Neurospora crassa OR74A: one gene and its partner. The protein of the gene in region 1 interacts with the protein of each later gene in a pairwise test. Links are inferred from orthologs where the notes say so. Each region holds a gene or a part of one and is shown in the gene's direction. Other genes may lie near its edges.

Region 1 (4,202 bases):
TGCATCAGCGCAAACATGTCCGGGTAGTCCACCACGATGTCCTCCACGTCCACCGTCAACATCTTGAACCCCGTGCGCTGCAGCAGGCCGCCGACGTCGCGCACGTCCGCCAATGGCGACACGTGAGGCGAGATTCCTCCTTTGCGCTCTTGCTCCGCCAGCTGCAGAGACGTGCGCAGCTCGTACAGGGTGTCGCCGCCGAGCATGGCGCCGATGAAGGGGCAGTCGGGCTTCAGCACGCTGTTGATCTGCGAGAGCACGCCCGGCAGGTCGTTGATCCAGTGCATGGACATGCTGCTGAGCACCATGTCGAAGGAGTCGGGCTCAAAGGGGAGGAGCTCGTCGTGTTCGAGGACGTGGCGCGTGAGCTTGAAGTCGGGAACGTGGGTGGTGGAGAGAGAGGGGTGGTCGTGGTCCCGGTGGAGGAGAGAGTGGGAGGATTCGGCAGCGACGAGCTCGGTGATCTTGGTGGCTAGGGGGTCGGTGACCGGGGGCTCGGATTCGGGGTCCGGGTCTGGGCGGAGGAGGGCGCGGGCGATGTTGCAGGAGTTTGCGCCGAGGTCGAGGACGCGGGGAAATTGGCGTTTGACGTCCTGGAGGGGTGGGATGAGGTTAGTTCGATATCATATGACAGACAGTATAAAAGAAGAGAGGAGAGGGAGACGGGGTATGTTTTACCAAAAGACGTTCGCACACGCGCATGGCGACCTCATCCTTGAGGTAGTCGGCTTGACGGCCCCCTTCAACATTGGCAGCTGCCCTCTCCTTCTGCAACCACTTTGCGCGGCGGTTGAAGACTTCAAAGTTGAGGCTGCCGGACTGAAAGGCATATGATCGACGGGCCGTCCCGCCCGTGAGGAGCGGTTTCCATTGCTGCGGCCGGCAGACTGGAGCCAAAGTCAGCCGCATCCTCGGAGTACACTAGTGAAGCCGTCACAACTCGAGCCCGGCTTTGGCATGATAGGCAAGAGTTGAGAGGGGAAGTTTGGGTTTGAAGACAACTAATCGATGCTACCTACGCCGGACATCGAGGTACCGCGGATTGGTGGATGCCAAGGCGCATCTAAATCGTCATAGCTCCTCTCAGGCTCGATGTAGCGTGGAAGCCACATTTCTTGCCGGGGTTTATAAGTGCGACTAGCCACAAAAAGGGGGTATTGTGGCGCCCTTGGTCGTGATAGAGAAGCGCTAGAAGTACATGTTACAGCGTGGTTGCCCGCTGGCTAGCGAGGTTCGCGGGGGGGCCAGGGCACCCAGTAGAGGTCCATAGGTACGCCGGTACGGTACGTATCGTATTCCCTCAGCGGGTTAAAACTGAACTTATTGGATGGAGATCCCCTTTATTTTGCAGTGGAGGAAATCGCCAATCCGCCCGTCGCCGTCCGCCAGTCCCCTCCCCTGAGAATCCTCGTCGTCAACCAACAACCAGTCCGGAGCCGCCGACCACGCCGACCTTCCCCAACTCGACACAGCACACGTCGCGAACTGAACCCGACAAGTGTGTGTTTCTGCCAGCCCTTCATTGTCTCCGCGACCCTGGTTCCTGTCTTTTGTCTCAGTCGACTGTCCGATACCCTGTACACCACGACGAAACATCGAACCGAACGAAGCGCATCGCGAACTTCCACTTTTGGTTGACCACTCAGCACTTCGAAACCGAACGAAGTGACATCGATCGATGCTGTCAGCCGCCGCGCCGACCGCAACTTCCACCATTCATACACAACACTAAACTCCGACGACCACCACTCGTGCTGCCACGGTTATTAGCTTGTTAATTATCGAATGTCGATGGATCAATCCTGTTGCTCGTGATGCTCTCAGTGTGAAAAGGTCGGCATAAAAAAGCAAAGCAGAATTATTTGGCTCTCCGGAAACCGCGTAGAGAAAAAGCTCCTGCTGGACGATACCACCGTGTATACGTGACCGAACAGTCAGACTCAGAGAAGCTCGAATACAAAACTTAATCACAACAAGATACCCCGGGCCAACTCAGCACAACCGCCATAATGTCGTCGTCAACAGGAACCGGCTTCCTGGGCCGCTCGTCCAGCAGCAACTCCAACATGCGCGGCTTGGTCCAGTTCATTGCCGATCTCAGAAATGCTCGGGCTAGGGAACTCGAGGAGAAGCGGATCAACAAGGAGCTGGCCAACATCCGTCAAAAGTTCAAGGACGGCAGCCTAAGTGGTTATCACAAGAAGAAATACGTTTGCAAGGTATGCGCCACGCCAAAACCCCCTGAGCGCCCACTTGTACCACCAGCAAGAGCAAGAACACCACGGTTAACCAATGCCCAAATAGCTGCTTTATATCTACATTCTGGGATGGAACGTCGACTTTGGCCACCTAGAGGCCGTTAATCTAATTTCGGCCACCAAGTACTCGGAAAAGCAGATCGGTTACCTCGCTATGACCCTATTCCTCCACGAGAAGCACGAGCTTTTACACTTGGTCGTCAACAGCATTCGCAAGGACTTGATGGACCATAACGAGCTGTTCAACTGCCTGGCGCTGCACGCCATTGCGAACGTCGGTGGCAAGGAGATGGGTGAAGCGCTGAGTCCCGAGGTTCACAGGCTTCTGATTTCCCCGTACGTGGTTTTTGTCTATTACATCTGGAAGCGGCGCATTGTCATACTAACTCGGTTTATAGAACATCGAAGGCGTTCGTTAAGAAAAAGGCGGCACTCACGCTACTCCGACTATACCGCAAAAACCCCGATATTGTCCAGGCTCAATGGGCGGAACGTATAATATCTATAATGGACGATACCGACCTCGGCGTGGCCTTATCGGTAACATCCCTTGTCATGGCGCTGGCGCAGGATAACACGGAGCAATACAAGGGTGCCTATGTTAAAGCCGCCGCCAGGCTAAAACGGATTCTCATCGACGGCGAGTTTAGCCAGGACTACCTCTACTACAAGGTGCCTTGTCCATGGATCCAGGTCAAGCTTCTACGATTACTGCAGTACTTCCCGCCATCCGAGGATAGCCATGTCCGGTCCATGATCCGGGAGTCGCTGCAGAAGATTCTCAACCTGGCTGTGGAGAGTCAGAAGAACGTTCAGCAGAACAATGCGCAAAACGCCGTCCTGTTCGAGGCTATCAACCTCATCATCCATCTCGATACCGAGCATGACCTCATGAAGCAGGTGTCCCAGAGACTTGGCCGGTTCATCCAATCGCGAGAGACCAATGTCCGCTATCTCGGTCTCGAGGCCATGACACACTTGGCAGCACGAACCGACACCCTGGAACCGATCAAGCAGCACCAGGATGTGATTATCGGCTCTCTGAAGGACAGGGATATCAGTGTTCGGAGGAAGGGTCTCGACCTGCTGTACAGCATGTGCGACACGTCCAATGCCCAGCAGATCGTGGCCGAGTTGCTACACTACCTACAGAATGCCGACTTTGCCATCCGAGAGGAAATGGTGCTCAAGATTGCCATTCTCACGGAAAAGTACGCCACCGACGTGCAATGGTATGTTGACATTTCTTTGCGCCTGATTGCCATGGCTGGTGACCACGTCAGCGACGAAGTTTGGCAGCGAGTGACGCAGATTGTTACGAACAACGAGGAGCTTCAGGTGTATGCAGCCCAGAATATTCTCCAGTACTGCAAGCAGGACCACTGCCACGAGACGCTTGTCAAGATTGGTGCCTATATCCTGGGTGAGTTCGGCCATCTGATTGCCGAGGAGAGGGGCTCCAGTCCTATAGAGCAGTTCCTGGCCCTTCAAGGCAAGCTTCCTGCATGCTCCTCCAGCACACGAGCCATGATCCTCTCGTGCTTCATCAAGTTTGTCAACTTGTTTCCGGAAATCAAGCCGCAGCTCGTCAACGTGTTCCACGTCTATAGCCACGCGCTCGATGCGGAACTGCAACAGCGTGCCTGCGAGTTCCTGGCCATCGCAAGCTTGCCCACAGACGACCTCCTTCGAACGGTGTGCGATGAAATGCCACCGTTCCCCGAAAGAGAATCCGCCCTGCTCTCGAGGCTACACCAGAAGCACGCCAACACCAGCGACAAGAGGACCTGGATTGTTGGTGGCAAGGATGCCAACGCGGACAGTGCAGAGCTCAGCCTGGCCAAGAAAGCCAGCCTCAGGCGGACCTTTAGCACCAAGACCGGACCAGCCAACGGCGGTGCTGCCCCGGCCGCCGGAGCCACCAACGGATCTTCATCTGCCAAT
Region 2 (3,893 bases), on another chromosome or scaffold:
TCCGGAAGCCCAAGGTTACACAGGGCGCATTTTGAAGTAGAGCAAAGGGTCACTTACTCGGCTTTAACCATGCCGCTAGCCTCATGCTCTCCGCTTCTCCTTGTTCCCAAGACGGCATCGATCTCGTCAATGAAGATGATGGCCGGCTGCAGCTTTAGCGCAAGCGAGAACACTGCGCGTACAAGCTTGTTGGAGTCGCCGTACCACTTTTCTGTAAGAGTCGAGATATGCAGATTGATGAACGAGGCGCCGCTCTCGTGCGCCACAGCTTTGGCCAGCATGGTCTTTCCGCAGCCAGGAGGGCCATATAGCAAGACGCCCGAAGGCGCGGACAGTAGCGTGCCGCCATGCGAATAGAGCTGCGGCATCGTGAGCGGGTAAATGATGGCTTCCCTGACCTCCTCAATAATCTCGTCTAGACCGCCGATATCGTCGAACCCAACCGGGATGTCCTCGGGCGCAACTACTTCCAGCGCTACCTGGCTCTCGTACTCGTTGAGAATGAGGTCCTCAACCCGCACGGTGGAGGGTGAGTCTTCGGGGACCTCATCGTCGGCGAACTCGTCGTTGGCAACTTTGGATTTGTCTCGTGACTTTTGTATCCTGGCCAGATTTTGTTGAGCTTTCAGCCTGTTTTGGTCGTGCTTAGCACGGTCGGGGTCGATGAGCTTTGCGACGTGGGGGGCGACGTAGTCACGGAAGATGAAGTATACGGATATTGTCTGGAGAGCAAAGTGTCAGCAGATTGTGGTGGGCGCATTGCATCGCGATTAGCAGGGCCCGTACGGTAGCAGCTAGTAGTAGCCCGGACATGATGTCCTTGGCCACACGCTTATTATCGGTCATTTTGACTTGAAGAGTGAGCCCTGGCCGGGTCGGGAGGGGAGTTGACAGCCCGCGGGTCGCATCCAAGAGTTGAGGGCTCTTTTGTCGTGGACGTCGTGATCGGAGGACTGGTAAGAGGATACAAGATGTATAGAGAAACAAGGGCTAATGCAACGAAGCGAACGGCATGCACCGGGCAGCAGCAGTAGTTGTTGTTCGCGTCCAAGTCAATGGACGTGACTGATGGAGGATGGGAACTTGAACTGAATCATCAAAAGTTGAAAATGGGTCCCCTCGAACGGTGGTCCTCGGCTTCAGCTTGCCATGTGCACTGCGTTCGGCCCAGAGAATGGGGCGCCACCCCAGTGGCTACAATCGATGTGACCTGACCTTGTCAATCTTGCCAAGACCTCACACACTTGTCCCCATTACAGTGAATGGTCCCGACTCCCTTGCTTCCGTTCGATCGATCGAACCTGACAAAGATTGGACTCGAACTGGAACGGCACCGCACTGAAACCAAGCGCCAAAACAACGACTCCAGTCGCACTGCGACACGTGAAGACGCGGCGCCTGCCCTGGGCGGATAGCGCAGCTGCTATCGATAAGCTCCTACAAGTGCCAAGAGTTGCCCCCTATCGGATCGCATCAGATGGAAATCAGCCAGGGTTCCCTCCATTCCGCCTCCACTGCCGCTGTGAACGAGCACCTCGATGGACGACGGAAAGGAAAGCTCGGGCCCCACTCACCCCTGGGCGGCTCGTATGGACGCGGCTCATCCCAGAGGGACGACAGCAGGACTTCGACATCACCGCTAGCAATTCCATAATCCGTATCTAATCATTTACACAACACCATCTTTTCCCTTCCCGTCGATCCTTTGTACGAACATCGATTTACGTCGCATGTGAGATCCAATACCACGCGGTTCTAGTGCCGGGCAGTTCAATAAAGCAACGGCGGATTCGCGGTTCGGTTTGGTTCTCTTTACACTTTCTGTGTATTGTTTTTCAACTTGGCAACTTTCAGACGGCCGCCCGCCTCGCTGTTGTCGCAAAAGTATAATTTGCAGCCATGTTGTCTTTCATTCTCATCCAGAACCGACAGTACGTACCCTTACCTCCTCTTCTACTACATACAAGCGCATCATGTGTCGCAAAGTCGCAACATCATATAGCAGATGTGCCACACCATACACCATACACATACATATCTAAAAGTCCATTGTCGCAAACTCGATAGACTAACACCACCAAACAAAGGGGTAAAACCCGTCTAGCAAAGTGGTATGTCCCCTACAGCGACGAAGAAAAGATCAAGCTCAAAGGCGAGGTATGTCCAGTTTTCCCTCTCCCCCCTTCCCTTCCCCCTTACTTAACCTCCCCTTCTAAATTCTTCACATCCCCCAGATCCACCGCCTAGTAGCCCCCCGCGACCAAAAATACCAATCCAACTTCGTCGAGTTCCGCAACCACAAGGTCGTGTACCGACGATACGCGGGCCTGTTCTTTTGCGCCTGCGTCGACACGAACGACAACGAGCTAGCCTATTTGGAGGCCATCCATTTCTTTGTCGAAGTGCTGGACAGCTTCTTCGGCAACGTGTGCGAGCTGGACTTGGTCTTCAATTTTTACAAGGTGTACGCCATCCTGGACGAGGTGTTCTTGGCGGGCGAGATTGAGGAGACGAGTAAACAGGTTGTCTTGACGAGGTTGGAGCATTTGGATAAGCTGGAGTGATGACGGAAGGAAATAAGGCGTTGGAAGGGAAGAAAAGGGCGAAACGGATAAGGGGCTAGGAGCCAAGGGGGGTGGATGAATGCGGAAAAAAAAGGGGGGCGGGGGGCGGCTGACTGACGAACCGCGACCGACCGGCCGACCGACCGACACACCAAAATATCAACCAGGGGCTTGGGATGGACGACGACGAATACTGACTTCCGCACTTGGACGGCTCTCGGCAATTCCAGCCGAACATACGGGTGCAGTAACGAGGTCTGACCTTCTGCCGGAATCGTTCGAACGACCCAGACCCTCGACCCCATCAACACAGAGCTGAGCTGGCTGGACCTTACATGACCACGACCCTCGGACGGGAAAGCTTTGGGTTAGTAGACGTCAACCCCTGCCGTCCACACTTCCAATGAGAGAAACGATCACCGACTATCCAAGCATCGAAAAGGGATGACAAGAGAGAAGGACGCGAAGAGGTGGTTACATATACCCATATCACACATAAGGGGCAGGAACATGTTCAGCAAACACTGAACAAGCAAGCTGCCTATTCTACCACACCAACAGCCCCTTATATATCAGGGCTTCTGAGCTTATACTTAGAGTAATCGATCAACTAATCTTACAAAGACACCGCGTCGCGAGATCCGAAACGCATTGCTCTATGAAATATTGGTGTTCCTTCACGACTCTGCCTGAGAAGCTTCCGATGTTCTCTTCCAAAGCATGAAGTTTTCGTCAGTGGCAAATAAATGAACCGTCTCTGCAGCTCAGCAACGAAGCGAGCCTCAATGGCCGGTATTGACACTATTGTGTGGTGCTCGCCATGAAGTGAACCCTGCGCTGCAAAAAAATTCGGGTATCTACCTGCCGTTGTCACCAAAAAAAAGTTGCAGAATTAACTTTGACCATGGAGAGACGTTCGTCGACTTGGACATGCACCAAAGGGATGTTTCAATTCTAAACAACTGTTTGCTTGCTTGCAATCTGTATCGAATCGTGAAACGAGACCATAAGAGGTATTTGACGCCATGATCCAAGTAAGTCCGTAGCATATCTTGCCAACCTGTCAACAGACTGGCCTGGAGTCAAGTGCAGACACTACTGCGCCTTCGACCCCTCGAAGACTGTGACGTCCACTTGATCTTCAGGCTGAGAAATCGTAACCTCAACAGGTTCAAGGTCCGCTTCAACGTGAATCACGTCCTTGATGGCCGTCTCAGATTTGCTATTGTCTCCAATCTCCTCTGCGCCCTCCATTGGCGTGCAATTTTCATGGTCATGTACTGTGGCCCCATGCCCAGGCTTGACTTTGCGGACGATATCAGCGCTCTC

The links.
Region 2: the proteins of NCU03440 (region 1) and NCU07989 interact in binary tests that used the Saccharomyces cerevisiae proteins (3 or more experiments, as listed by UniProt). The link is inferred for Neurospora crassa OR74A from reciprocal best matches to the Saccharomyces cerevisiae genes APL3 and APS2.

The regions. Positions count from the first base shown.
Region 1 is NC_026502.1:713,381-717,582, reverse strand, and holds the start of NCU03440 (AP-2 complex subunit alpha), read left to right. Parts: upstream 1-1,361; 5' UTR 1,362-2,009; coding exon 2,010-2,219; intron 2,220-2,304; coding exon 2,305-2,594; intron 2,595-2,656; coding exon 2,657-4,202. Other genes in the region: NCU03439 (hypothetical protein), read right to left, coding at 1-593, 679-909. UniProt on the Saccharomyces cerevisiae protein: Adaptins are components of the adaptor complexes which link clathrin to receptors in coated vesicles. Clathrin-associated protein complexes are believed to interact with the cytoplasmic tails of membrane proteins, leading to their selection and concentration.
Region 2 is NC_026504.1:3,822,465-3,826,357, forward strand, and holds NCU07989 (AP-2 complex subunit sigma), read left to right. Parts: upstream 1-1,305; 5' UTR 1,306-1,899; coding exon 1,900-1,931; intron 1,932-2,087; coding exon 2,088-2,157; intron 2,158-2,234; coding exon 2,235-2,564; 3' UTR 2,565-3,351; downstream 3,352-3,893. Other genes in the region: NCU07988 (ATPase family AAA domain-containing protein 1), read right to left, coding at 58-722, 787-846; NCU07990 (hypothetical protein), read right to left, coding at 3,660-3,893. UniProt on the Saccharomyces cerevisiae protein: Component of the adaptor complexes which link clathrin to receptors in coated vesicles. Clathrin-associated protein complexes are believed to interact with the cytoplasmic tails of membrane proteins, leading to their selection and concentration.